Linked DNA regions of Cricetulus griseus. The protein of the gene in region 3 purifies or fractionates together with the protein of the main gene of each other region. This does not show direct contact. Links are inferred from orthologs where the notes say so. Each region holds a gene or a part of one and is shown on either strand. Other genes may lie near its edges. The genes, in order: Fbh1, Bcorl1, Skp1, Fbxl18, Zc3hc1, Fbxo42 and cotranscriptional regulator FAM172A.

The links.
Region 1: the proteins of Skp1 (region 3) and Fbh1 purify together in Homo sapiens (affinity purification with western blotting; 8 studies listed by BioGRID and IntAct, with this or other methods). This does not show direct contact. The link is inferred for Cricetulus griseus from reciprocal best matches to the Homo sapiens genes SKP1 and FBH1.
Region 2: the proteins of Skp1 (region 3) and Bcorl1 purify together in Homo sapiens (affinity purification with mass spectrometry; 3 studies listed by BioGRID and IntAct, with this or other methods). This does not show direct contact. The link is inferred for Cricetulus griseus from reciprocal best matches to the Homo sapiens genes SKP1 and BCORL1.
Region 4: the proteins of Skp1 (region 3) and Fbxl18 purify together in Homo sapiens (affinity purification with mass spectrometry; 3 studies listed by BioGRID and IntAct, with this or other methods). This does not show direct contact. The link is inferred for Cricetulus griseus from reciprocal best matches to the Homo sapiens genes SKP1 and FBXL18.
Region 5: the proteins of Skp1 (region 3) and Zc3hc1 purify together in Homo sapiens (affinity purification with western blotting; 9 studies listed by BioGRID and IntAct, with this or other methods). This does not show direct contact. The link is inferred for Cricetulus griseus from reciprocal best matches to the Homo sapiens genes SKP1 and ZC3HC1.
Region 6: the proteins of Skp1 (region 3) and Fbxo42 purify together in Homo sapiens (affinity purification with mass spectrometry; 8 studies listed by BioGRID and IntAct, counting the BioPlex papers as one, with this or other methods). This does not show direct contact. The link is inferred for Cricetulus griseus from reciprocal best matches to the Homo sapiens genes SKP1 and FBXO42.
Region 7: the proteins of Skp1 (region 3) and cotranscriptional regulator FAM172A purify together in Homo sapiens (affinity purification with mass spectrometry; 3 studies listed by BioGRID and IntAct, with this or other methods). This does not show direct contact. The link is inferred for Cricetulus griseus from reciprocal best matches to the Homo sapiens genes SKP1 and ARB2A.

The regions. Positions count from the first base shown.
Region 1 is NC_048596.1:228,531,179-228,534,866, reverse strand, and holds part of Fbh1 (F-box DNA helicase 1), read left to right. Parts: intron 1-683; coding exon 684-814; intron 815-918; coding exon 919-1,054; intron 1,055-2,048; coding exon 2,049-2,239; intron 2,240-3,688. UniProt on the Homo sapiens protein: 3'-5' DNA helicase and substrate-recognition component of the SCF(FBH1) E3 ubiquitin ligase complex that plays a key role in response to stalled/damaged replication forks.
Region 2 is NC_048604.1:21,119,984-21,124,368, forward strand, and holds the start of Bcorl1 (BCL-6 corepressor-like protein 1), read right to left. Parts: upstream 2,885-4,385; 5' UTR 2,811-2,884; intron 2,267-2,810; 5' UTR 2,187-2,266; intron 1,341-2,186; exon of another isoform or gene 1,044-1,340; intron 1-1,043. UniProt on the Homo sapiens protein: Transcriptional corepressor. May specifically inhibit gene expression when recruited to promoter regions by sequence-specific DNA-binding proteins such as BCL6.
Region 3 is NC_048600.1:66,413,797-66,417,160, forward strand, and holds the end of Skp1 (S-phase kinase-associated protein 1), read left to right. Parts: intron 1-371; coding exon 372-512; intron 513-1,891; coding exon 1,892-1,927; 3' UTR 1,928-2,788; downstream 2,789-3,364. UniProt on the Homo sapiens protein: Essential component of the SCF (SKP1-CUL1-F-box protein) ubiquitin ligase complex, which mediates the ubiquitination of proteins involved in cell cycle progression, signal transduction and transcription.
Region 4 is NC_048597.1:79,453,359-79,457,046, reverse strand, and holds part of Fbxl18 (F-box/LRR-repeat protein 18), read left to right. Parts: intron 1-2,381; 5' UTR 2,382-2,384; coding exon 2,385-2,597; intron 2,598-3,289; coding exon 3,290-3,688. UniProt on the Homo sapiens protein: Substrate-recognition component of the SCF (SKP1-CUL1-F-box protein)-type E3 ubiquitin ligase complex.
Region 5 is NW_023276806.1:197,435,263-197,439,687, reverse strand, and holds the start of Zc3hc1 (nuclear-interacting partner of ALK), read right to left. Parts: upstream 2,937-4,425; 5' UTR 2,907-2,936; coding exon 2,761-2,906; intron 109-2,760; coding exon 1-108. UniProt on the Homo sapiens protein: Required for proper positioning of a substantial amount of TPR at the nuclear basket (NB) through interaction with TPR.
Region 6 is NC_048595.1:12,099,381-12,103,645, forward strand, and holds the start of Fbxo42 (F-box only protein 42), read right to left. Parts: upstream 2,894-4,265; 5' UTR 2,660-2,893; intron 1-2,659. UniProt on the Homo sapiens protein: Substrate-recognition component of some SCF (SKP1-CUL1-F-box protein)-type E3 ubiquitin ligase complex. Specifically recognizes p53/TP53, promoting its ubiquitination and degradation.
Region 7 is NC_048595.1:298,681,864-298,686,008, reverse strand, and holds the start of cotranscriptional regulator FAM172A, read right to left. Parts: upstream 2,840-4,145; 5' UTR 2,667-2,839; intron 1-2,666. UniProt on the Homo sapiens protein: Plays a role in the regulation of alternative splicing, by interacting with AGO2 and CHD7. Seems to be required for stabilizing protein-protein interactions at the chromatin-spliceosome interface. May have hydrolase activity.

The DNA.
Region 1 (3,688 bases), on a different chromosome or scaffold from region 3:
GATTTAAGTTATAGGTAGCATAGGTTCTCATGTTGTTACTGAAAAGATTCGTGGTATAACTTCAGCCATTTTAATTGATTGACTGGCTTATGACTCCGGATGTGATCCAGTGTGGAGAATGTTCATGGGGCTTGGGATGAGATTGGATTTTGCTCCTGTTGGATTGAGCATCTGTATGGATCTGTTAGGTTCAGTAGTCTGTAGTGTGTTCAAATCCAGCATCTCTTTACACATCTCTGCCAAATATTTCTTCATTCAGTTCTGTCAGTGTTTGTTTCGTATCTGTATACTCTAGTAGATGGTGTTACTCTCTATGTTGTCACATTTTGGTGAAGATGTCACTGTGTAGCATTATCATTCCATCATGCCTTCCTTTGTGTCATGTAACAGTTGACTTAAGGTGAGTATGGCTTTTGGAACTTGGAAGTGCTGCTCACCTGGTACTTCAGATAAGAAAACCAAGTGCTAGCTTTTCCTAGCTCCTGTGACATTTGTATTAGAGCCAAGACCAAGGCCCAGTTGTCCTAGTTTCCAACTCAAGCAGACAGTTTCTCCCTGGTCTGCCCAGCTTTGGATTGGGAGCTGTATTTGCTTTGTATTTGGTAGGTTTTCTTTGTTGGTGTCTCAGTCTTTCTAAGAATCATGGCCTGGATGTTATTTCGTTTTGTTTTTCAACTACATAGTTCATTCCTTGGAAAAAGCTGTATCATCGATACTTGATAAATGAAGAGCAGGCTGTCAGCAAAGTGGATGGCATTCTCTTGAGCCATGGCATAGAAAAGGACTCGGACTTATGTGTGCTGAACCTCATCCGGTGAGTGTCTTTCTTCCAGTTTGTGAGACAGTTTTCAAAGTCCTTTCTCATGTCTTTCCTCACGATTGTCTTCCTTCTGGACTCATTTCCTGAGCCTTTTACAGATACACAGCCACTACCAAATGTTCCCCAAGTGTAGACCCTGAGAGGGTGCTGTGGAGCCTGAGGGATCACCCTCTGCTTTTGGAGGCTGAGGCGTGCATGCGCCAACAACTACCTGACCTCTATGCATCTGCTGGGGTATGTGAACTGAGAGGTTGTGGGGTTACTTTGGGGGATGGTGACATCATTTCTCACTGGAAGTCTGTTGCTGATTAAGATTAATTGAAGATAATATATATATTCAAAAATGTTTTTAAAGTTTTTTTTTTTTTATTTATTATGCATAGAGTCTTCTGCCTGCATGCCAGCAGAGGGCACCAGATCTCATTCAAGGTGGTTGTGAGACACTATATGGTTGCGGGGGAATTGAACTCAGGAGCTTTGGAAGAAGAGTCAGTGCTCTTAACTGCTGAGCCATCTCTCCAGCCCAATATTCAAATTTTTGATTGAATCTCTGAATAGCATTAATCTTGTTAATGATCTATTTGGAGAAATAAAAGGCCCTATTTTCAGCTTCTTGAATGCTAGTTATCTAGTCTCTGAACACTTGGAGTGATAGGGTTTCTTTATGATAGCCATTTATATTTTAAAAATAATATAAGCCAGACAGTAGTAGCACACACCCTTAATTCTAGCAGAGGCAGGTGGATCTCTGAGTTTGAGGCCAGCCTGGTGTACAGAGCAAATTCCAGAAGAGCCAGGGCTAAACAGACAAACCCTATCTCAAAAACAACAACAAAACAAAACAAAAGCAGACCCAACCCAATATATGCATTTATATATATATTTTTATGTAGATAGGTCCACACATGAGTATAGGAGCTTGTGGAGGTCTGAAGAGATCCCCTGGAACTGGAGTTACAGGCGGTTGTGAGCTGCCATGTAGGTGCTGACCCTAGGTCCTGGACAAGAACAGCAAATGCTCTTAATCACTGAGCCATTTCTCTAGCCCTTGAGGTGGCTCTCTCCTTGTTGATACATTGGGTAATTTGAAAGAGGCAGAAAGATTAAATGTCTTACTATAGATTCACAGTAAAATAAGATGCTGGAAATGTCTATCAGTTTCCTCACTAGTTTCCAGATTGTGGCTGAGTCTAGCTTCTCCTCCTATCCTGTATACCTCTCTTTGAAGGGCATTAACGTCTGGGCCTTGGTGGCTGTCATGGTGCTCCTCTCCAGCTGCGTGAACGACATCCAGCATCTGCTCTTCTGCCTCAGGAGACCCAGCTCCACAGTGACCATGCCAGATGTCACCGAGACCTTATACTGCATAGCTGTGCTCCTTTATGCCATGAGGGAGAAGGGGATTAACATCAGCAATAGGTAACACCCTGGAAAGGAGCTGCTATGATAAATCACAATGCCCTAGACTTGTCCTAGCGCCTCCTTTCTCCCTGTGTAGTGTGTAAGGGGACTGGGCTGTGGAAATGCAATTCCAAGTGCTTTGTGAATATCATCTGCTGGTCAACTAAGATTTCTTCACATAGTTTCTATGTTCTTGGGTGTTGAAGCTAGAGGTGAAGGTGAAATGCCTCACAGTACTCACACCTGGCTACATATTTCTAGGAAAACGTTAGCATTTTTTTTTTTTTCTCCCTTGCTCACTTTTGGAGCGGACTATAGTGGGAGTCTTAATGACTGTGTCTTCTTAATATAAGAAAGGCCTAGAGTGTTGGTTGCTCATTCACCATTATCTTGACAGTGATAAAGTATGCAAAGATAAATAGCAAGCTGGAAATTGTCCAGGCACAAGAGAGTCCACTGTGAAAATACTTAACATTGCCTGTGCAGTGTAAGAAGACAGGCAGTGCATAAGCACACAGCCGCCTTAGGGAATGTGTGTTGTAATGGGAGTGGAGCAGAGCTCTGTGAGAGGGCAGTGGGGATCATTGTTTTAGATGGAATGAGCAAACACTTCTCTGAGGAAGTCTGAATGTCAAAGAGGAACCTCCATTTGGAGGTATGAGAAAGAGCATTTTAAGAGAAAGAAGAGGTAAGTTAAGGACCCAAAGTTGGAATTAATTTGATAAATACCAGGAAAGTTCAGTGAGGCAGAGTGCATTGAATATGGGAGAAGCTAGTGCAAGATTATGAGAGATGTCTGGGGACCAGGGGAGGGCAGATCTTTAAAATCCTGAGTATGGGTGGTATATATGGAATGGCCTGCCCTTTCATCTGAAGTGGTGAAGACAGGCAGCCATCATGCATCCAGTTCTAGAGAGGTAGAAACCCAGAGGGTTTCATCTCTAGGAAAAGACTGACCCCTGCGATTAGTGAGCCCCTAGAGAAACACAGCAGTGACCTCATCATCCTTGGTAAGGTAGTACAGAACAATTCTGTGTGTTTATGGACACTATAACAGTACCATAAACCAGGTTGTTTAAGCCACAGACATTTGCTTTCTTGCCCTTTTGGAGGCTGGAGATCCAAGAACAAGGTGGGGAAGATTGGGTTCCTAGTGAGTCATCTTCTCTGTATCCCAGGAAGAGAGAGATGGAAGCAGGGGAGACAGAACACTTGACATTGTGTCTCTTCTTTTAAAAATGAGTTCGAGTGGATCATGGCTGTAGCTTTGTAACTGCACTGAATCATAATTCTCTCCTTCCTTCCTTTCTTTCAGCAGTCCTTTTATGGTATTAGGGCTTCAGCTTTTGAATTTCAGGAGGGGCATATAGTTCAGTCCATAGTAGTGTGGTATGTTGCTCTGGTTGTATGTCCAGCCCCTGAAATGTTATTAAAGGTATCTTTTTTCACCAAAAAGAGTGATGCTTT
Region 2 (4,385 bases), on a different chromosome or scaffold from region 3:
GGGATTGCCCCTGATCCCGAAATCCGGCCCCGTAACCGGAGCCTCCCTCCTTTCCAGCCCTCGGCTTTCCTCTCAGACCCCTTGCCTTCAGGCCTGGCGCGAAGCGGGTTGAGGGCTTGCAAGCCGAGTCTCCCACCAGGCTTGCCGGGGCCAGTATGAATTGCCCCCATCTCATCCTCCTTCAATTGGAGCACCCTCCCCGCCTCGCCTGGCCCGGTAGCCCCCGCCCCTAGAGCGAGGGCAGCGGAGCCTGGGCGCTCCGAAGTCATCCCCCGCCTTTTTTCCAGGGACTCGGATAATTGCCCCTGCCCCCATCACAGCACTCCCACTCCCGAACCCAGGCCCCGCCGCCACCTAGGGGTACCCCTTACCCTATGGTTCCTGCACCCCAGAACAGGGGAGAAAGCAACCCTGAGAGCACCCGTCGCACCTCCATCTCTAAGGTTGGAGAGCATTTTCTCCCGGTCTCTTCAAGACTTCATCACGGACACCCCCCCCCCCAAAAAAAAATAGCAAGCCCTTTCTCGCCCTACCCTGTTGGCCAGGTTCCCTTCGGATCGTCGGATCCTTGGATCAGGGTTTGGGGCCAGGTACTTCCAAGACCGTAGCCTCCACCTCCCTTTCTGTAGAGTGGGGTAATTCCTATGGTTCCCCCCTACAGTAGCTAACGACCCCCGTTTCCATGGAGACCCCCGCCCAGCCAAGAGGAAGACTCTCTTGGATCGTGGAGAACAAGTCTCACCTGGCTAAAAGAGAAGGAGGTCGAAAAGGGAATAGGGCAGGGCACGGATGGGGTACGAAGGTGGGAAGTGGAGGGGAGCTGTCCCGAAGGGAGGGGCGAGCACAGAGAGAGCTCCAGGGAGCTCTACGTCCGGGGACACCGAGAGGACGGCGCCCCCGGGGGGCAAGCGGAGAGGCTGAGGGCAGAGGAACGGACAGGGTTGAGGAAAGGCTTAGGATAGCAAGAAGCGGGTGGGGAAATACGAAAAAGCCGGGGAGTCAAAAGGGGTGGAGGGGTTGGGGGAGAGAGAAAAAAGACGCACCTGTTCCCGGGTCGGCTCCGCAGGGAGGCTCAGGCCGCCACCCGAGCTCCCTCTCACCCTCTTTGAACCACCACCCGCCTAACACTGCTGGGATCCGATGCCCCCCTCCGCCCCTTATCGCCACCGACCTCCTTCTCCTCTCACGGCGGCGGCGGTCGGACTCTAGGAACTGAGAGGAAGAAGGGAGGGCTCAGCAAAGCCGAGGAGAGACAGAGCCACACACTGGCAGCGCCGCGGCGAGCGAAAGAGTGAGGGGGAGAGCGGTGTGTGTGTGCCTGTGTGTGTGAGAGAAGCCTGGTGGAGTGGGTGCCGGTCGCAGAGCTCGACGGGAAGTGGAGTCCGGCCTTGTTCGCGGGCGGCGCCAGCCAGCGCTGAAAGATACTACAACTCCCAGAATGCTCCCTAGGCGGGGGGGGGGGGGGAGGAGGAGGCGAAGGGAGGGAGCAAGCATGAGAGGGAGGGACTAAAGCTGGGAGCAAGCGGCGGCGAAGGGGGCAGAGCCAAGCAGCCCCGGTGACACTGGGAGGGGAGGGGAGGGGAGGAGGAGGAGGAGGGGATCGCTGAGAGAACCCAGCGGATTCCGGAGAGGGAGGCAGTGGTAGCTGTAGCAAGCTGGGCAAAAAGATAGACTCCCAAGAAAGGCGGAGGCACTCAATCCGCGGGGCTCCAAGAGCTCCACGCCCCCCACCCCGACGCCCCTCAAGAGGGAGGTTGAGGAAGGGAGATGATCGGGGTACTGAGGCCAGAGCGTCGGTTGTCTGCCTTCCTTCCAACGTTCTCCACCTTATGCCCCGACCTGACTTTCTCAGGCCACTAGTGACAGAACCAGTGTGCAAATGACTCTTTGAACACATCCCCAGACCTCCCCTGCCCCGGTACCACAGAGCACACGTATTCAGTCCCCTTTTCCCAGGAGCCCGAGGGAGGCTCCCCTTGCAAGCAGGGTGTGACTCTTCCATTCTTCCCGCACCCCCCCACCGTCGTCGCCACCCTCCATCTCCTTCCCCGGAACCCTCCCCGAAGCTGGGGCTCGCCTTTCTCTCCCCTAACAGGGAAGAATCCGTTGGGGGAAGGCGACTACTCGCCCCTACTCTTATCCTGGGCCCCAACCCACCAGCGTCCCCTTAGCGTTGTCCCCCTCACCGAAGTAATAGTGGGGGCGAGCGGAGTTGAACTGGCGTCTACTTCTCCTCTGACACTAGCTGTCCTTCGCCACGCCGACCCTGTAGAAAGATATAGAAGCACATTAATGCTCCCGTAACCCACCCTCCACCTTCGAGTCTCCACAGACATGGTTCACAGTAAAGAGGTTGGTGTTGGAAGTGAGCTGAGAGTAAATCCCAGTCCTCAAACCCCATTCTAGTCAGGAAAATCCAGGGATCCGTCCTTTTCCTTAAAAGCCCTCAAAGACCCTGGAAGGGAGGGTGAAATTATCTAAACCCCAGTGTCCACACGACGCCAAGCGACGTTACCTCACATGAATAGGATACAAACTAGGCTGTCCCCAAGGGAGGAAAAAGTGCAACCCCCGACGCCTTCCACCCCTCAAATGCATACCCCTAGGAGATCCAGATGGCCAAGGATGAGGGGGAGAAGAAGGGGTGCTGAAAGAGTGAAAGGATTGTGGTGGGGAGGGTCCGCGGCCCCCAAAGAGCAGAATCCAGATGCTAAGAGGTGGGTGGGGGGTGCGGCATATTGCAGACGGCGTCTTTCCTCAGTTTTCCGGGAATCGCCACGGAACACCGTCTAACACTGGGAGTTGCTTACCAGTCAGTCCCCTAACCCCATTTGTGCGCATAAGGCGACCGGAGCTCAGCCGAGAAGCCCGGGCACAAACTCCGCGGAAGCTGGCCTTCGCCGCCGCCCGCCGCCGCCGCCGCCGCCGGCGCTGCCTCGGGCCTCCCTCCCTCCCTCCGCTCCTCTCGGCCGCAGATCTACCTTCGCCCCCGGCCGAGGCCAGACCCCGCTCGCAACTCCACGCCCCTACTCCACCCCCTGCTCTCCCTCCCCTCGCCCTCTCCTCGCCGGTCGGGCCCAGCCCCTAGCGCCGCCCCGCCCTAGCGCTCGGTCCAGAGCCCAGCAAGTGCCCCCGAACTCGCCCCCCGCCCCACGCCCAGGCCAGTCAGGCCAGGCCTGCTTCCCCCCCTCCCGCCGCGCCCCGCCCCCCGAATCCACGTCCCACTTCGCCACCCAACTCGGCCCGGTCCGGGTTCGGCCCTAGCCCACGCCACCGGAGTCCGTGGTTCGGTCCGGTGTACGGTCACCCACCCCGCCCTTGCCTGGGTGCCGGCCTGCGTGCCCTCGCTAGCCCGCCCAAGCGCGCGGTCCGGGTCGGGGTGCCGGCCTCGGTCCGGGCGGCGTTGCAGCGTCTCCACGAGGGTTCGGTTCACGCAAGATCCGAACCCGCTCAGGGTGGGGGCTGCGGAAAGCAAGTTTCTTTATCCTTCCCCCCCCCACACACACACACAACCCCCGCCGCAGGGCCACGCCGTTCCCGCCCCCGTCACAGCGCCCCCTTCACCTGGGCAGAGCCCCCTGGCTGCTGTCGCAACTTTGCTCTTCTCTACACCGCCCGGGAAGCGGGCGAAGCGGGAGTAGCAGGGAGGTGGCGGGAGGGGGGTGCTGGGATCAGGCCGCTGGGCTCCGGGAGGACACGTGGGGGAGGAGGGGAAGGAGGAGGAAGAAGGGGGCGGGCCTGCAGTTCTCGGGGCTCCCCCCTACCAGCCCCGGGGAAGCCGGAACCTCGCCGGGCAGCCGCAGACCCCGCACTGGCCACGGGGGAAGAACTGAGCCACCTTCCCCAGCCAGCTCTCCGCTCCAGGAAGGGAGGGGGGGGTGCCGCAACGCCGTTCGGGGTCGGAGAGCGATCGTTTTCGCTCTGGTTTTGTATGTAACACGCTCTCCCCGTTTTTGACTCGGTCTATGCAGGAGGGAGGGGGTCTTGCCTGAAGGGAACGCCCCCGCCAGACACCCCGCCCTTCCTCGGACCCCCCACCCTTGGCGACCTCGGTGCGTGGTTCTGGCGCTCCAGAACTGAGGCCGCGCTCCGGCGAAGCCCCAGCCCGGCTGCCGAAGTGGGACAGGTGCTAGGGAAAGGAAAATGCCTGGTCTCATCGCCTCGTCTCGCGACTCCCGCTCGGCCCACTCTTCGTGGCAACCTCCCGGGCTGCAAAAACCTTGGGTCACCCTCAGTGGACAGCCCTTGCTTGCCTGTGGAAGCAACTGGGCTGCCGGGGAGACCCGAGGGAGGAAGGGGGGAACGGAAGGTCTATAAAGAGAGAAGCTTAAAAGACTTGGAGAGGAAAACCTGCCTAGAAGACGACCGAGGGCTGGGTTTCTGCT
Region 3 (3,364 bases):
TTTAAGGCCAGCTTAGTCTGCATAGCAAATTTTAGGACATTTAGGGCTACATAGTAAGACCTTGCTTCACAATAAAGTATGGAAAAAAATTGCAAATATTTGAAAATTCAGTAATTTCCTAGTTATTTATCAGCCAAAAGAAAAAATTTAAATTAGTATTTTTAACTGAATTGAGATAAAACAATTAAAATTTGGGATAAAGGTAAAGCAGTATATTAGAGGAAAGTTAGTAAAAGGCGAAGTTAAATTAAAGTAATTAGTATTAAAGGATAGAGAATTTCATTAAAAGATGTATGTTTTAAGCTCAATTTGATGTAGCTTGTTAATTAAAGATTCAGTACACATGATTAAAAACCAGCTGTCATTTACAGGCTGCAAACTACTTAGACATCAAAGGTTTGCTTGATGTCACGTGCAAGACTGTGGCCAATATGATTAAGGGGAAAACTCCTGAGGAGATTCGTAAAACCTTCAATATCAAAAATGACTTTACTGAAGAGGAAGAGGCCCAGGTAAGTAGGATACAGCCTATTTTTGATTACTTTTTTAAAGAAACTGGAACCCAGTAACAGTGACAAAAAAATGGTGCCTATCATGAGGTCTTGGGCTAGGGCTACAGCTTACCTAGGATGCCTTTTTAAATACCTTGTGGTGCATGCCTTTGATCCCAGCATTTGGGAGGCCGAGGCAGGCTATGAGTTAGTCAGCCATCCAGGGTTATATAGAGAAACTTTGTCTTAGAAAACCCAGTAACATTAACAAAAGTCTTGATACAGAGGAATAATGTGCACCTCTGTGTCTCACATACTACTCACCTGTTTCTGAATCTAAGTACTTAGATGATACTGTTTTGTTTCTTTTTAATTAATTTTTTTTCAAGACAGGGTTTCTCTGTGGCTTTGGAGGCTGCCTTGGAACTAGCTCTTGTAGACCAGGCTGGTCTCAAACTCATAGAGATCTGCCTGCCTCTGCCTCTGCCTCTGCCTCTGCCTCTGCCTCTGCCTCCCAAGTGCTGGGACTAAAGGTGTGCGCCACCAATGCCTGGCTGATACTATTCTTGAAGACTTTTAATTTTTATTCATGTGTGTGAGCATGGTGGCCAGAAAAGGGCATCAGATACTCTGGAGTTCTAGTTACGGTGGTTGTGGGGTAGGAACTAAATGAAAACAGGATTCTTAACCTCTGAGTCATGTCCAGCCTGATACTATTTTTTAAAATATTTATTTATTCGTTATTTTATTTGTATGGGTGTTCTGTCTTCATGCACACAGAAGGAATTTGATCCCATTATAGATCCTTGTGAACCACCTTGTGGGTGCTGGGAATTGAACTCAGGACCTCTGGAAGAGCAGCTAGGGCTCTAAACTGCTGAGCCATCTCCATCCCCCCAGTTGTCTTCCCCCCTTGTTAACTGTAAACATAAGAAAAATGAATTTTGGGCTGGGCGTTGGTCATTCCCGCCTTTAATCCTAGCACTCGGGAGATAGAGGCAGGTGGATCTCTGTTGAGTTCGAGGCCAGCTTGGTCTCCAGAGCAAGTGCCAGGATAGGCTCCAAAGCTACACAGAGAAACCCTATCTCAAACAACCCCCCCAACCCCCCCACCTCCCACCCCGCAAAGAAAAATAAAAAGAAAGTGGAGCCTGATAGTACGTACAAAAGTGGATAAATGTAGTTTGTTTACTAGCTTGGAGAGTGGGACTAGAGCTCCCAGTTGTATGTGCTGTTTGATGTACAGTGGGAGTCACCAAGTCTACTCTTCTTTCCTGGTACTTTCCCAGCTTCCCATCTGCTCTTCTCACATCACATAGGCTACTGATGGGATAGTATAGGTAGTGTTTAGCCATCTCACAAAAGACCACTAAAGGTATTTACTTGTCTGTCTCTTCCAGGTACGCAAAGAGAACCAGTGGTGTGAAGAGAAGTGAAGTACTGTGCCTGACACTGTAACACTAGAAGGGTTGTTCTAAATGCTAGTTGCACTGCTTTGTTTATAATTGTTAATATTAGAGAACAGTAGACAAACACAGCCTTGTCCTCACTGCATGTGTAGTTCCAGTACAGATCTGACCTATGGCTGAGTTTCTTCTATATGAGTAGAAGTTTTTGTTTTTTGGTTGTTTTTTTTTTTTTTTTTTTTTTTTCTTCATTACTCTGAATAAAACTGAACTTTGGGTTCTCTGTGGAAAGTGGCATTTGGGCTTTCCCTCTTTCTGTAAAGCCATTTCTGCCTAGTTCATTGTCCAGTTAATTTCAGTGAGCCTTTGTAAGTTGGCATTGTAAATAAAACAACTTATGAGAAGTATTCTGAAATAGAATTAACAAAACATGATCTTTGTTCATGAGTCGGAAACTTGAACAAGGCAACTTGAAGTTAATGTTGTGAGTGGGGTTGTTAGAATTAGGATGTCTTTCATCCTCTCTGCTGCTGGTAAGCTTGTACACAGCTGGGCTCTCTTAATTGGATCTGAGGACTTATTTTATCTTTTTTTTTTCCTTTAATTTTTAATCTCAGCTTTTAATATGTTGCTAGAGATGTAGTTTACTACCCAGTTTGGTTTTGGAGGGGGCTGTAATTAGATTATTTTCTTTGCTTTTCAATTAAAAAAGACTTACTTCATGTGGTATGTCATCTTTTTATCATCATTGTTCCCACATGGGGAAAGACACTACTTGCATGTAAAAAATTATTTAATCTTTAACATTAAAGTGTACCACAAAACTCAGAAAACAGCCTTACTAAGTGCAAGATGCTTTTCAATAAAAAGTAATACAATAGGTAGTAAACAGTTGCTTTTGTGGATATAAATGTGTCTCTTCACTTAACATATTGTTTGTTTTGGGGGTTTGTTTTTGTTTTGGGGGGGCGGTTCTTAAGACATGGTTTCTCTATGGCTTTGGAGGCTGTCCTGGAACTAGCTCTTATAGACCAGGGTGGTCTCGAACTCACAGAGATCACATTCCCTCTGCCTCTGGAGTGTTGGGATTAAAGGCGTGAGCCACTACCGCCTGGCTAAGTTTGGTTATTTTTTAATTGAAGAGATTCTTAGGTGGTTTGTCTTTAACTGGAGACTCTTAGCATTTGTGTGGTTCCTTGAAACCAAATGTTTAGTCAGTTCTTTTTTTTCTTTTTAAAGTAGTTTAATTACATTTTTTAATTTTGTGTGTGTACTTGCATGCTTGGTACACACAACTGTGACACATTTGTGTTGGTCAGAAGATGACTTGTGGGAGTCAGTGCTCTCCTACCACTTGTGTGACCCAGAGATCAAGCTCAGGTTGTCAGACTAGGTGGCAGGCACCTTTGCTTACTGAGCCTTCTTACTAGTTTGCCCGTCCTCCCTTAAAGCTTTGCTTAGTTCCTT
Region 4 (3,688 bases), on a different chromosome or scaffold from region 3:
GCAGGCTTCTCAATACTAAGCTGTTTCCCCAAAGAATAAGAGAGACCGCCAGTTTAAGGTCAAGCTGACCGTCTAGCACTGAAATCCATGCGAGAACTGGTGGTTGGAAGGAGGACTCAGGAGAGAAGAGGTCGTAGGAAGCTTTAAGGGTAGTTCTCTCTCTCAATTTATTTATTGTGTAGTGTTCTGCCTGCATGTATGGATATCAGGAGAGGGCACCAGATCTCATTATAGGTGGTTGTGAGCCACTTTGTGGTTGCTGGGAATTCAACTCAGGACCTCTGGAAGAGCAGAGCAGCCAGTGCTATTAACCTCTGAGCCATTTCTCCAGCCCAAGGGTAGTTCTTTTTCTTTTCTCTTTCCTTTTTTTCTTTTTTAAGGTTTTTTTTTTTTTTTTTTTTTTTTTTTTGTTTTTTGGTTTTTCGAGACAGGGTTTCTCTGTGTAGCTTTGGAGCCTATCCTGGCACTTGCTCTGGAGACCAAGCTGGCCTCCAACTCACAGAGATCCCCCTGCCTCTGCCTCCTGAGTGCTGGGATTAAAGGCGTGCACCACCAACACCCGTCGAAGATCTTTTTTTAAAATTTTATTTATTTATTATGTATACAACATTCTGCTTCCATGTATATCTGCACACCAGAAGAGAGCACCAGATCTCATAACAGATGTTGTGAGCCACCATGTGGTTTCTGGGAATTGAACTTAGGACCTCTGGAAGAGCAGCCAGTGCTCTTAACCTCTGAGCTATCTCTCAAGCCCCCTGGCTTTTACTTTATAATCCTGCCTCATCCTCCTAGGTGTTAGGATCACAGGTGTGTGCCGTCACACAGATACATGGGTAGTTCTTAACTTACGACTTCATTTTTTTGCTCTGAGACAACACAGGGTCTAGTGAAGAAGGGAATGGCTGGGGCTGGAGATGAAAGCAGAGCTTTGGGCTCAGGTGGAGAAGGAACCACTTGGAAGCATAGGATCAGTGTGTCCCAATGCCTCTGCCTCCCGAGTGCTGGGATTAAAGGTGTGTGCCATCAACAGCTGGCTATTATTATTAGTGTGTGTGTGTGTGTGTGTGTGTGTGTGTGTGTGTGTGTGTGTTTGTTGGGGTATATGCATGTGAGTGCAGTTGCCCACAGAAACCATCAGATTCCCTGGAACTGAAGTATAGGCAGGAGCCACTCAACATGGGTGCTGGGAACTGAGCTCTGGTCCTTAAGAGCAGTATGCACTTGTAACCTCTGAGCCATCTCTCTAGCCAGGACTATGAGATCTACATATTGGATGAAAGAACCGACATCCACTACTTTACAAGTTGTTCTCTGATCTAATACAGACACTTGTGCACCAACACACACTCTCTCTCTCTCTCTCTCACACACACACACACACACACACACAGAGTTACATGTATGTTAAAAAAGGGAAAATTCAATATAGTATGTACCTATGAAAATTGCTAAGTGTCTTGTGTGAAATTTGCTCTTTCTCAGGGAGATGTGCCTGGGGAGCAGAGTGGCAGAGGATAGGCTGTGGTTCAGGGGCCTGTATGCATTGTATACTGGAAAGGCTGTTAGGGGGCTGGGATGTGGCTCAGCTAGAGTGCTTGCCTAGCAGACATGAAGCCCTGGGTTCTATTTCCAGCACTGGGTAGACTGGGCCTGATGGTGCATTCCTGTGATTCCAGCACCCGGGAGGTGGAGACAGGACGATCAGGCCAGTTTGTGGTCAGTTTGGGCTACATGAGACACTGTCAACAAGGAAGGAAAGGGAGTAGAAGTGATTATTGGGAGCCAGGCGTGGTGGTACATGCATATATATTGCCAGCACCATGTTCAAGCTCATACTGGGCTACATAGTGAGTTGAAGGCCAACCTGGGCTTTATAGCAAGCTCCTCCCCCCCCCGTTTTTTTTGGGGGGACAGGGTTTCTCTGTGTATCCCTGGCTGTCCTGGAACTCACTCTGTAGACCAGGCTGGCCTTGAACTCACAGAGATCTGACTGCCTCTGCCTCCTGAGCACTGGGATTAAGGTATGTGCCACCACCACCTGGCAGAAAGTTGTCTAAACACCCAGGAAAAGCCAGAACATCAGGGAGTTGGCTGAAGGTGGCCATCAGTGGTTTTCTCACCTCGTGTCCTGGTTTGAGTTCTAAGAGAAGATTCTGGGAACTCTGTTCTTCACCCTTTGGTGAAGAGTTGGTAAAATTTCTCTACTGTGGGGGTGGGCTCCTCCTGTTTGTGCATCCCCAGTTCTGGGATTGCAAGCAGGTGCTACCTTGCATACCTTTTTATGTGGGTGCTGGGGATCCAAACTCACGTCCTTCTGCTTGTCCAGCTAGCATCTAATGACTGGTCCACCCCCTCCCTCTGTTGTCCCTCACTTCTAGGACATGTCCAACGATGCTGCTGCTGCCCCCACAGCTGCAGAGGCAGCAGGTGACACCCACCTGCTGGGCTTCTCAGATGAGATCCTCCTGCATATCTTGAGCCATGTCCCCAGCACAGACCTGGTTCTCAATGTGCGGCGCACCTGCAGGAAGCTCTCGGCCCTGTGCTTGGACAAGAGCCTGGTGCACACCGTGCTGCTTCAGAAGGACTACCAGGTGACTCAGGCATGGGTGGAAGGTCAGGATCAACCAACGTGCTAGCTTGTGGGGGCTGGTGGTACTGATGTTTGCACAGAAGACTATGTAGCTGGGAAAAGCCACACATTAGGATTCAGTGACAGACCCAGGATAGAAGAGGATAGGTGGTGTGTCCCATGGCAGGAGGGCATAGAACATGTGGATGTAGTTCTGGGAGGGAAGAGCCTGGGCCTCAGATACAGGGCTCAGCGGGGGACTCCTTCCCCATAGGTACCCTAGGGTGGAGTTATTGCACCACAGGGTAGATTGTAGAAGGTCCCTGTGAAGTGACACAGTGGATGGCACAGTTGACATTGCTGCAAAATGAGTCCCCCATTGCTCAGGGCCGAAGTAGAAGTATCTGATTAACCTGGGACATGAGCCCACTGTGGTAGGATACACATGTAGTCCCAGCACTCAGGAATTTGAGGCAGGGTGATCACAGCTCAGAGCACTTTAGTAAGGCCTTGTCTCAAACAAAAAGAAATAAAAAACCCCAGACAGGTGTGCCTGATGGCATAGGCCTATAATCTCAGCATTCAGGAGCCAAGGCCAGATCTGTAAATTCAAGGCCAGACTGGTCTATACAGAGTTCAAGGCCAGCCAAGGCTACAAAGTGCGGCCTTGTCTTTAAAAAATACATGTCTCTCCTGCCCTGTCGCATTCTGCAGGCCAGTGAGGACAAGGTGAAGCAGCTGGTGAAGGAAATTGGTCAGGAGATCCAGCAGCTGAACTTGGCAGGCTGCTATTGGTTGTCGGGCTCTACCATCGAGCATGTGGCCCGCTGTCACAGCCTGGTGAAGGTGAACCTGTCAGGCTGCCACCTCACCTCCCTGAGGCTGTCTAAGGTGCTTTCAGCCCTGCAACATCTGCGCTCACTGGCCATCGACGTGAGCCCCGGCTTCGATGCCAGCCAGCTGAGCAGTGAGTGCAAGGCCACGCTGAGCCGAGTACAGGAGCTCAAGCAGACGCTGTTCACACCATCCTATGGTGTGGTGCCCTGCTGTGCCAGCCTGCAGAAGTTGCTGCTCTACTTTGAGATCCTGGACCGCACACGTGAGGGTGCTGTC
Region 5 (4,425 bases), on a different chromosome or scaffold from region 3:
AAAGTTTCCACTCTGTGAAAAAAGGCTTCTTTGCTTGTAGATTCCAATGGGGGCTGTTCTGCTTGAGGCGATCCATTGATTGACTGGAATGTGGCAGATGTGTCCTTTCTGAAACCAAGTAGTAGGAGTGTTACTGATCTCGTCTCTGTAATATTCTGCTTAAATCTTCTGAGTCTAGCTATTCTACACATATTACAAATCAAACCCAAACTAGATTTCAAGTTTATAAAAATCATTTCAACTGTCACCATTTCAGTCAGGCCATTCCTCTGCTTAATACAGCCTTTTTCTTCATAATACTTATTAAATAGACTCTGAATTCTTCAATCTGGCAGACACAACTCTTTAAAGTTTAGCCACTCTCCTAGCTCATTCACAGTTCTCCAATAATATTTTCCATAACCTTAGTAAATACAAAATAAGGCCTTCAAGGATTCAGGTATTAACTAATAATAATACAATTTAAACCACCTTGGAGAAAAAATTCTTTTTCTTTTTTTGAGACAGAGTCTCACTCTGTAACCCAGGCTGCTAGCCTGGAATCAGCAGCAATCCTTCTGCGTCAGCCTCTCAAAGTGTTGGGATTACTACTGTGTACACACATACATATGTGTGTGTATATGTGATATATATGTGAATGAATGCTTCCGGGTACATGTATGGCGGTCAAAGAACAACTTTGTGGAGTCAGATCTTGAACTCAGGTCACCAGGCTTCCTGGCAAGCACTTTTACCTAATGAGCCATCCTGCTGGACCAGAAATTTAACTCTTCATATGAGAGAGAATAACAAAAATATTGCTATCTACATGGACCCTTGTTCTCAAACCTCAATTAGGATATTCAAAGTCAAAGACAAGATTTTTCTATTTCAAAAAGAAGCTTCAGAAAAATACAATGTAAAGAAAACCAAATAGGACAGGCAGTGGTGGTCCACACCTTTAATCCCACTCAGGAGGCAGAGGTAGGGAGATCTCTGAGAGTTTGAGACCTGCCTGGTCTACAGAAGGCCAATGTTATACAAAGAAATCCTGTCTTGAAAAACAAACAAACAAACAAAAGAAGAAGAAGAGGAGAAGGAGAAGGAAGAGGAGGAGGAGGAAGAGAAGAAGAAGAAGAAGAAGAAGAAGAAGAAGAAGAAGAAGAAGAAGAAGAAGAAGAAGAAGAAGAAGAAGAAAGAAAACCAAACATTTCAAACATGAAAGGCATTCCACCCACCAGCCTTCCACATCCCTCCTGGGATAGGAGAAGGCAGAACTGTTAAAACAAGAACCCATTTGAAGTTGGGCAGTGGTGGCACACGCCTTTAATTCCAGCATTTGGGGAGGCAGAGGCAGGCAGGTCTGTGGATTCTAGGCCAGCCTGGTTTACAGAAAGAACCCATTTGTTTGCTTATTTGTTTTATTTATTTTATTTACTTATTTTTAGTGCATGCATGTGTGTGATATATGAGTGTGAGTTTGAGTGTCATGGCATGCCTCCAGAGTTCAGGAATCAGTTCTTTCCTTCCACCTTTAAGTGGGTTTCAGGGCGAAAACTCAAGTCATCAGGTTTGCACAGCAAGTGTTTACCGAGCCATCTGGACTATCTCTGTTTTGTTTCTTAGAGAGAGGATCTCATTTTTGTAACATAGGCTTCAGACTTTCAAGCATTGGTATTAAAAGTGTAAGCCACTATTCTCAGCTAGAAACCCCTTTAGCAATAAGATAACACCAATAACTGTGACTTGAAAGAAAAAAAATATTCCAAGAATCTTCCTCAGACATTTACAGAGAACCTCAAGAAGGAGGCGTTCTTTGGGGTGGGGGGATCAGAAGATCCCTAAACCTACATGAGAATTATATAACATTTATTTCATAAATCTCTGAGAAATATAGCATGGCTTCAATTTCAAGATTAAGAAAAGCCAAACCTGACTGGTCTACAAGAGCTAGTTCTAGGACAACTTCCAAAGCCACAGAGAAACCCTGCCTCGGAAAAAGAAGAACAAAACAAAAACAAACAAACAAACATAAAAAAAAACCAAGAAAAGCCAAACCCACTGTAGCCTAAGCAGTATCTGTGAATTTGTCACCAAGAAAAAAAAAAGTGTACTCACTTTAACTCTCTCTCTCTTGTTCCTCTCTCCACTCTCCACATCTCTCTCTGACAGGGCCTCAAGTTGGCCTGAAACTTCAGATCCTAGCTCTGCCACCCCCGTCCCCCCAACGCCTCAGAGTTGTGTGCCGCTACTGCCGCCTTAATGTAGTGCTAGGGACCAAATCCGGGGCTTAGTGCACATTGGGCTAGCTGTATTCCCCGCCCAGCATTAACTATTTAATTAAGGAAGGACGGCGGGAGGGAAATGGCATGTCACCACCTAACTTCCCTTGACTATCTTGATAACTACTTTACCGTGTACTTGGTTTCAATTATGATCCCGTATACATTTGCTTTATGCGTTTTTAAGAGTGCTCCTCGGAAAAGGGGTTCCTTCCTAAGCGTCCTCAGACTGGGAGCACCCGGCGCATGAACCCTAATTAGTATTCAGGTTTGCTTATTCTGCTAACAGTCTTCGCCCTCAAAAAAGGCTTTTAACAAGATTTCGCTAGTGATGCAGCCTCAGGTATATCCGGAGGCTATCGAAGCCAAGCCATTAGAGAAGCCCAGCGTCTTTCGGACCCCAGGAAGAATTCAACCCCAGCCACCGAGTCACGGATTGAAGTCACCGTACGCCACGCCCCCGCCCCCGTTCCAGGCCCAAGTCTCCACAGCCACTCACGGTTCTGTGCCTCCCTCTTCCGGGACAATCCCCTCATCTATCAGCTGCCGAACTTTCTGGGGTGTCCCTTCAGGGGACCGAACAACTGCACCCCAAGTCTTTTCAATACCCGCGGCAAACAGCTGCCCCTCACTGGTAGCCGCCATCTTGGTCCGTTCCTCAGTTCTGTCCCCAGGCGTCTGAAGGCTCAGGAACTTCCGTTCTGAGTTAAGACCCACCCCTTTGGCCTCTCTAAATACAGACCTCAGGTCCTCTGCCTTCCTGGTTATCTAACAGGATTAAAGAGTGATTATAGGGCCTGGCGGGCGGTAACACACACCTTTAACTCCAGCACGCCTTTAATCCCAGCGCTCGGGAGGCAGAGGCAGGCGGATCTTTGTGGAGTTCAAAGCCAGCCTGATCTACAGAGCAAGTTCCAGGACAGCCTCCAAAGCTACACAGAGAAACCCTGTCTCGAAAAACAAACAAAAAGACTACAATGTTTAAGACTGGACGTAGAGGGCTGGAGAAATGGCTCAGAGGTTAAGAGCCCTGACTGCTCTTCCATAGGTCCTGAGTTCAATTCCCAGCAACCTTATAAGATCTGGTCCCTCTTCTGGTGTGCAAATATACATGGAAGCAGAATGTTGGATACATAATAAATAAGTAAAAAGATTGAACGTAGGTGATTTATCAGGTGAACTAGCATATTTAGGTAAATAAATTTCTTGTTTGTTTTCAAGACAAGATCTCTCTGTGCAGCTTTGGCTGGCCTGCAACTCAGTGCTGGCCTCAAAAAAAAAAAAAAAAAAAAAAGACAGGGTTTCTCTGTATAGCTTTGGAGCCTATCCTGGCACTCGCTCTGGAGACCGGGCTGGCCTCAAACTCACAGAGATCTGCCTGCCTCTGCCTCCCGAGCGCTGGGATTAAAGGCGTGCGCCACCAACGTCCAGCTAAAGAATTATTTTTATTCAAACGCAGAGAATCTGATGCCCTCTTATGGCTTCCCCGGGCACCTGCATGAATATGGTGTACATACATATGCTCAGGCGCACATATATACACACAACATAAACAAACCTTCTGCCTGCCTTTGCCTCCCTAATGCTGGGACTAAAGGCGTGCACCGCTGCCACCACCACCACCTGGCGATCACTTTTTAAAAATAGAACAACAGAGATGTGGGAATGAACCCCAATCTTAGTACTGAGGCAGATGAGGTTGTTGGGAAGAAATCTGCAAGAGATCTTCCAAAATCTCCAGCTGGATGACAGATGTGTAGGAAGAGTGAAAAAAGAAGACTTATTTCCTATGGACTCTTGACTCCAGCACTGTTCTCAAACGCTGGAGCCTGAAACCTACGGATCTAGCACACAGGAAGCAGAAGCAGGCAGATCTCTGCAAGTCTGAGGCCACCTGGTCTACATAGTTCCAGGTCAGCCAGAGCCCTATAAGAAGGCCCTGTTTCCAAAAGAGAAAGGGACAAAGGATTTCTTAGTCCAGAATTTGTTTATATGCCTTGATGGCCAAGAGCCAGAAATTTCAGCAAAACTGAAAATAGCTTCCAAAGATATTTCTAGTTTTCCTGAAAACATCCTGTTTTCCTCAAACAAGAATATTCTTGTTTGTTTTGTTTTTGAGACAAGTGTTTCTGTATAACAGAGCCATGGCTGTTCTGGGACTTGC
Region 6 (4,265 bases), on a different chromosome or scaffold from region 3:
ACAGAAGGTTGCTATCACACAGCTTCCAGAGGTAGACATTAAGAAGCATCCTAGGGCTAGAGAGATGGCTCAGTGGTTAAAAGTGCTTACTGCTCTTGCAGATCCAGGTTAAACTCCTACCATCCACACCAGATGGCTCACAACCACCTGCAACTCCTGTTCCAGAGGATCTGATGCCTCTGGCCTCTGCTAACATATGGATTCTCTCTAGCCCTGTCCCTAAATCTCATTCTCCCTTTCTTTCTCATGCACAGACACACATACACATTGTTTTTAATAATATAAAAATAAAACGGGGACTGGAGAATGGCTCAGAGGTTAAAGAGCACTGACTGCTCTTCCAGAGAACTGGGGTTGAAATCCCAGTACCCACATGGCAGCTCACAACTGCCTATCATTTCAGTTCTGGGGGATTCATGGCACCAGGCACACACACATGGTACACACAAATGCGCATGCAGACAAAATGCCTGTACACATAAAATGAAATGGATCAAGCTAAAAAATAAAACAACAAAAACATGCTGGGCGTTGGTGGCGCACGCCTTTAGTCCCAGCACTCGGGAGGCAGAGGCAGGTGGATCTCTGTGAGTTCGAGGCCAGCCTGGTCTATAGAGGGAGTTCCAGGACAGCCTCCAAAGCAATACAGAGAAACCCTGTCTCAAAAAACAAAAACAAAACAACACACACACACACACACACACACACACACACACACACACACTCCTTAGCTGTTTTTCCTGAGACAGGTAAGGAAACTTAGCAAAAACGCTGCAGAGAGTTCCACCATCAATACCTGATGACTACGTAGCATAGCAACACAACAGTTGATGCCAAGGAGCATAATGTCAAACCACCACTGATTCCAGGACCCTCTACTAGCAAATTAACACTCAGAATGGCCCTCCAATCTCCTACCCTTGGTTCAAGTCTCTATCTTTGGCAAAGACACTAAGGAAATCTACTCATTTCTATAGGAAACGCTGACTTAAGAAAGCAGGAAAAATGGCCAAAAAACTGCCTAATATTAGATGAAATAATTGTAATTTTAACTTAATAGTTGGCATTAAAAGCTGGCTGAAGGCCAGGAGTTGGTGGCGCACTTTAATCCCAGCACTCGGGAGGCAGAGGCAGGAGGATCTCTGTGAGTTCGAGGCCAGCCTGGTCTCCACAGCGAGTGCCAGGATAGGCTCCAAAGCTACACAAAGAAACTCTGTCTCGAAGAACAAAACAAAACAAAAAAGCTGGCTGAAGTACAACAACAACAACAACTCATGGCTCAATGTAGATTGAATGCTATATTAAATTGGGTTTATCTGAAGCAAACAGCTATAATATACAAACTGATCAGCGTGCAACAGAAAAGACACCCCACCACACTAGACAACTGAATAAGCTCTGTTAGAATTTGAGAGAGCATCCCTCTCTAGCTTAAGAGCTACAGACTGAATTCTAAGTGAGGGTGTTTCTTCGGCAATTTCCCTTGTCCCTTTAAATCCATGATGTCATCATTCTTAAGCACAAGCAAAGCCCGATTTGTTACAAAAGACGTTTGGTGTGTCCAAGCCAAAGAGATGGTCCCAACAATTCACAACACAATTCCAACTGAAGCTATTCTTCCTCAATGAAAAGGCCACCAGGCATCAAACCGTCTCCTCTACCCGAAAAACTAAACAAAGTCTCTCAACTACTACATTTCAACAACAACAATAAAAAGTTGTTGCAAGGGGGAAAAAAATAACAAAATAGTACAGTGTTGCCTCCAGCAAGTGAAAACCGGTTATGTGTCTGGTTCTGCATCTAGATCCATCGGAACGCTCCTACAGAAGGGTCCAAACATTTTGGCCATTGAGAAACGAAACGAAGCGTTTATTTCCTTATTAAAACTCAGAATATCCAACAGACAAAGCAAGCAATCGGTTGTTCCAAAGGTTTCGAACCAACTCCATCATCTGAAGTTTCTCTGCTCAAGACTACCAGGATCTCACCCAATTATATTTTTTTCTCGATTCACAAACTCGTCCCCACCCTCCACAATTCTCTGAACAGACAATTCTCATCAGGGCAAGCCTTCCTCAGTCACAGCGTGGACTGCTGCTGTCTCCAGCAAGGAGAGCTGCAGTTCCCACTCCTAAGAGAACATTCAAACGGCTAGGGGTCAGGAAGGGAACTGCTTGTGTTTCAATTTGTCAGCCAGCTCCAAAAAATCATCTCTTTGTAGCCGCAGCTTCCCAGACGCCAGCCCCTCGCCGCCGCCGCAGCCGCAGCCGCAGCCCCAGTTCGGGAGGGCAGCCGTCTCCCGCTCTTCTCCGAGGACTTAAGGGCTTCAGGGGGCGGGGTGAGGCTCGGTGACACCCCGAAAGCCATTCGTGCCCTGGCCACGCATCCTCTCCCGGCCCGGGCGAGTGAGGACCAGAACCACCCTGCTGAGGAGAGGGCACAGGTCTGCGCCCATCCCGAGGGCAGGCTGCAAAGGGGCGCCTGTCCCCACCTCAGCCAGGGGCACCGAGGATGACGACAGCAAGACCCCAGGCCCGCCAAGACCCAGCCCGCGCAGTACACGGGGCCCGCGCCGGACTCGGGGTGCCCGGGGTGCCCGGGCATGAAGCGCAGGAGGCGTCGGCGCCCGGCTGCGGCCGCGCACCGGGAGAGGCCTCACCTGGCCCAGCCCGCTCCGCGCTCTCGGCTTCGCGTCTCCGGCGACGATGGCGAAGGAGCCAGGGCCAGGGCCGGAGCACGGCCACTCTGCCTCAGGCCGGTGCTCGCCGTGCTCGGGGAACCGTCACAGCTGGCGGGACCCGGGGCCGCCCGGAGCCGCCATCTTCCTCCACTCAAACGCCGCCGCGGCCGTCGCCGCCGCCGCCGCCGCCGCCGCTGTCCCTGATGCCGCCGCCGCCGCCGCCGCCGCCGCTGCTGCTCAGGCTGGGAGAAGACAGCGCGCAGTGCGCATGCGCCGGGGCGGGGCGCAGAGGAAGCGCGCGCGCACACACGTCAGCGCGGCCGGCCTGCGCGCGGTGGCCGCTGGGCGGCGCCATATTGAGAAGGGCCGAAGGGAGCTGAGCGCTCCTGGACTGTCTGGAGTCGGCGCGGGTCCCTGGGCTGCCTTCCTGTTGGTTTGAGACTAGAGACTTAGAAGAAGTCGCCTGTGTCCCCCCCAGGGTACCCACTGAGCACAGAGAAGGGCGGTGGCGAGCGCAGGTCATCTCACCGCGTTGGAAGCCTTTGGAAACTGTAGCAACAGCTATATTGCTACCACCCTTTTTTTTTCTCTTTCCTTTCCTTTTTTAAATAAATGAGGAAGCCCAGGCTCAAAGCTGCCCACGTAGAGCGGGGGCCCAGGAGGAAACAGGCCTCTGGGTTGCTCTGTGCTTCCCACTGTGGCCACCACCAGGGTGTGGGGTCCCGCAAAGCCAGACGGTGGTCTACATAGTGAGTTCTAGGACAGCCAGAGCTACATACTCAAGATTCTGTCTCAAAAGAAAAAGTATATAAAATAAAAAGAACTACTTCATTTAAAATAAAAATAAAAGTAGCCGGACGGTAGTGGCTCATGCCTTTAATCCCAGAGGCAGAGGCTGGTGACAGCCTGGTCTACTGAGCGAGTTCCAGGACAGGCAGGACTACATAGAGAAACCCTGTCTAGAAAACAAGAAAACGTGTGTAGGTGAGAGCCGTCTAGAAATTATCCCTCAGGTTTGGTTTAAGTAAATGCCAGATACAGAGACTCAAGGGCTTTGCTTCGCTTCAACTCTTGTGCAACTGGAATATCCTAAAACACGGAGCAATTTGCCCTGGGATAAAATAGACTTCCTAGGCTAGGTCTTGGGACATAGGACTGGGTCAGAAGCTAAGTACCACAAGGCTTGGTGGCACTCCTTTAAGTCCCAGCTACACAGAAGGCTTAAGGGCAAGAATTACTTGATTCCAGTTCAAAACCAGTTTGAGGAGTTTCAATCTTTGAAACTTTTATGTTCCTCAAACAAATATTACAAAACCCCCTGACATACAGTGTGTGAGAAACTAAGAAATTCCACTGGCATGTCATGGAAGTTCATTGCTAATTCGAGCACTCAGGAGACAGGGGTAGGTAGATTTCTGAGTTCAAGGCCAGCCTGGTCTACATAGTGAAAAATCATCTCCAAAAAAGAAAGTCTTGGCCTGCAAAATGGCTGAGCAGGTAAGAATGCTTGCCCCAAGCTTAAAGACCAGGAGCCTCAAGGTAGAGGGAGAGAATCAACTCTAGCTCCTGCAGGTTACCCTCTGAC
Region 7 (4,145 bases), on a different chromosome or scaffold from region 3:
TAGTCCTATATAGGTATGAGTATGGCAATTACTGTTTTAACAGGTTTGGTGAATGTGGAGAAATATTCACAACACTGTGGGAAAATTAGAACCCTGTGCACTACAGGTGGGAAAGAAAAACCAGGAAGTCATTGTTGCTCAGATTTTTGTCACTATAACAATTACTAAGCTGATCAACCTATAAAGAGAAAAGGTTTACTCTGGCTCTCAATTTTAGACTTTTTGGTACATCTGTGGCTGGCCTTGCTGCTTTTGTAGCTGTGGAAGGGAGCACATTATGGTGCGAACAGAAAGAAGCCCAAGGCAGAGAAAAATGCTCATTTATTAGTCAAGAAGCAGAAGCATACAGAGGAGGAAGGTATTAAGGTTACACTGTCCTCTGCAAGGTCATGCCCTCAATGGTCTAAAACCTCCAACCAGGACCATCTTTTTCATCATAGCACTTCTCTAGGGACCAAAACTTAAGATATGAACATTCAAGATATAAGGTATTCCAAATTGTTTCATTTGTGAATATATAACCAGAAGAAATGAAAGTAAGACAGGTGTTTATGCACACAACAGAATCATTTACAGTAGCCAAAAAGTAAAAGCAACCCAAGTTTCCACAGATAAACAAATAGGTGAAAAGGAAAACGTTTATACAGTGATGATTATAGTCAGCTTTTAAAGGAAGGGCTTTCTGACATATGGAATAACATAGTTGAAACTTGGGAACATTATTCTAAGTTTAAAAAGCCAGTCACAAAAGGACAAACGCTATTTAAGTACACTCATATGATGTGTCCATAGACGAAGAAAGAAGCTCCATTGTTGCTAGGGGCTAAGGGTAGTTGACTATGAGGAATTAGTGTTTAAAAGGTACAGAGCTTCATCTAGGGAAGATAAAAATACTAAGACAAACAGCAATGATGGTTACACAACGGTATAAACATATGTTGTGTTAGTCAACTTAATCCTTGAAATTATTAAAATATTTTATGTTAGGTACATTTTACTATAGTGTTAAAGTAAAAGAAAAGTAAAATTAGCACAGAGAAGTATTCGGTAAATACTGATGCTATTGGGCAAACTCAATCTAACAAAAACAAAGGCAGCACATGTTACATCAACTGACTAAATATTGGTAGTTTGGGTAAAGCCTAATGAAGAGCATGGAAACACCTTAATGTGCACTGACCTGGATCCTCATCACCATGCTAAGTTGCTTGTTATTAAACATGATCTCTCATGAACATAACAAATCACTGAATAGTAAGTCTCCATACTGGTAACCCTGCATCTTTACTATTCCAAGTGACAACAAATGTATTTCAACCTCTCCTAGGTGTTCACATAAAACATACCCCAGCTACAGAGTCAGCCTCTTAATCAGTTCAGACCTCTACTCAACTACCACTTTAGCAAAGAGACTTCTCTAGCATAGCACTCCCATCATCCTCTCCCCCCTCTACTTGCTTCATTTTTCCTTGCGATCCTCACTTTTTATGCATTTGCTTATGGATTGTTCTCCACCCACTAGAATAAGAGTACACAGGAGTTTCTATTTTGTTCACTACTGTCTTCTCTTAACATGGACATTTCCTGACTTATTGAAGGTGGCTAGTCAATGTACTAGATGAACAAAAAGAGCAATGCTCACAGCTTTATAGATCCTATTTCGCTCTTGGCCTAGATACTGTTCTACCATTTGTAAGTGCTGCTGCAGTCACAGTCAAAAAGCTATTCCAGTCAGTTTCACTGGTTGAAGGGACCAGACTCCTAGTTTAAAACTAGGAAGGTTTACAGAAAGCTCTGCCACTGAAGCCTGAATTTAGCACCTAAAGAATGCTCTGATTCAGCTTCAGAATGAGTAAGGTCATGTGTCCCTTTCAAGAATGGATAAAGAACAAGGAGAAACAGAACACTTTTGACAGTGCATTAAGACAAAGACAAACCATGAACTTTAACAGCAGCACCACACTGCACCTATTTATAAACAAACAAAACAAGGCAGTATCAGGTTCAGACCACAAAACTTTCCCTCAACAACTTTTTTGAGGATTTGGGGAAAACAGACAATGCTTTTTGTCTTTAAAACGCAGCCCAAACACAGGTAAACAGAAGTTACTTGGCCCAAAAGGTTTAGAAAACGAGAAGCACAAGATGCTGCTTCCAAATGTAAGTAACTTTAGGAAGAATATATACATTCTACTAAGGTTCATACGATACAAGCTTGGAGGGTATTTTATAACTACACTTTAATGTTTGCAATAAATGTATGCCAAAGCTTTAGCGGTTAACGCTTTTTGCATAAAAACATACAACTAAAAACAACTTCAACCAGACAACTGCAATTCAGTAAGTGGAGGATCCCTTGCTGTGTCTAAGGTCTCTGGTGATAACCAGAGCCTCGTGGGCTCAGATAGCAGGCTAGCCACCCCAGGACACACGTGTTCCTCCGGCCTGGAGAGTGGATAAGGCAGATGGAGGCAACCCTCTGCAAGGTCTTGGACACAGGTCAGAGATGTGCCCTGGAGACGATGCGTGGCTTATGACAGTCAGGAACGGGGGATCGGGGTTGGGGGGGGAGTGGGGGGAGCCTTCCGCCCCAGACCCGGCCAGGCCAGCCCCTCCTGGGTCTCGCGGCGGGCGGGCGGGCGCAGAGGTTGCCAGTGCGGTCCTACCTGAGCTCTGCCCCCAACTGCAAGGCTGAGGGGTTAGCAGGAGGAGGCGTGGCTTTCCAGATCGCAGGGCGAACTCCCTCCAGCGCTTGCTACCACTTTCTCTCTCGGGATCCGCGCCCCGACCAAGTTCGAGTTGCACTTCCGGGGTCTGCAGGGGACGTACACATCATTACGCATGCGACGGCCGCAGCGCCACCAACCCGGAAATGGGCGGGGCGGGACTCTGCCTGTGTTTCTGAGGCGCTGGAGGTGCTGCCAGCAGGAAGCTGGCCGGTGTTAGTGGAGAGCCTATCCTAAAGCCTGTTCTGGAAGAGGAATTCCAATATTCTCTGTGAGGCTGGCCTTTAGTGAATTCCCCAGGCTGGTTCATGGTTTACGTGGCTTCATTCTGCCTGTGCTCCTCAAGATGAGAAAGGAGGCCCATGCTTGAAAGATTGCATTTACCCCAAAATTAAGAGGGGAAGTCAATGCTAGCATCCTAATGACAGCTGGCTCAAATGGGAAGTGCCTTGGTGTTCTGCTTTTCCAAAAATGTTTGAAAGATGCATCTCTTAAGGGGTAGATTAGGGGTGAGCAATAGGCGCAAGTGGTTTAAATTTTTTTATACACTATTCTGATTTGTTTTTAATTCCAAAACCACTGTTTGGCCAATGAAAGCCAAAGCAAGCACTGGAGACAGGTAAAAGACTGGCCCCTCCGGTAACCGAAGGAAGTCTGACAGCTAGCAAACCTGCATTTGTAATATTTTCAAAGAGGAGGTTCCAGAATTCTTGAAAGTATATTGTACCTCACTCCCATAAGGTGTACTTCTCCATCTCAGCTCCTGCTTCCTTCAGAACAAAAGACAATGATGTGATTTATTGGCAGTGTGCCTGATCCACTAAAATGTCAACTGGATGACAGCAATGACTTTATCTTGTCTTTTTTAAGGTATCCTCAACCAGGACAACATGCCTGTCACAAAATATATAATAAAAGTCATTTGACATAATTTCTGTACTATTACACTAGTTGGAGAAACTTAGTAACAGATAGGACAGGAGGGTGGGAAGTCTGGGGAGGTAAGAATGGGTGAAAAAAATGTAGCAGTGTAAAGGAATGCTCTTGAGGAAAAACAACCTATTGAAACAAGCCAAGAATGTCTGAGTGAAAGCTATAACATTGAAGAATGTTAGGGTTTCATGTCAGGCTACAGTGAAAGTAATTTGTAGGGTAGAACCTTCTACTGAAGAAAAGAGGCTCTGAAAAGCTTTGTATACCGTGAGCAATTTGAATTTTGTGCTTCAGACGGGGGTTTTTCAACCATAAAAAGCAGCATACTTTCATTTTGGTAGACTGACAACCGTGAATAAGTTCGTTAAAAATAAACCTGCAGGGCTCAAGAGATAGTTTAGCTGTTAAGAGCATTTACTAATCTTCCAGAAAACCTGGGTTTTTTTTTCCCTGCACTCACATCAGGTGGCAGGTCTCACAAGTGCC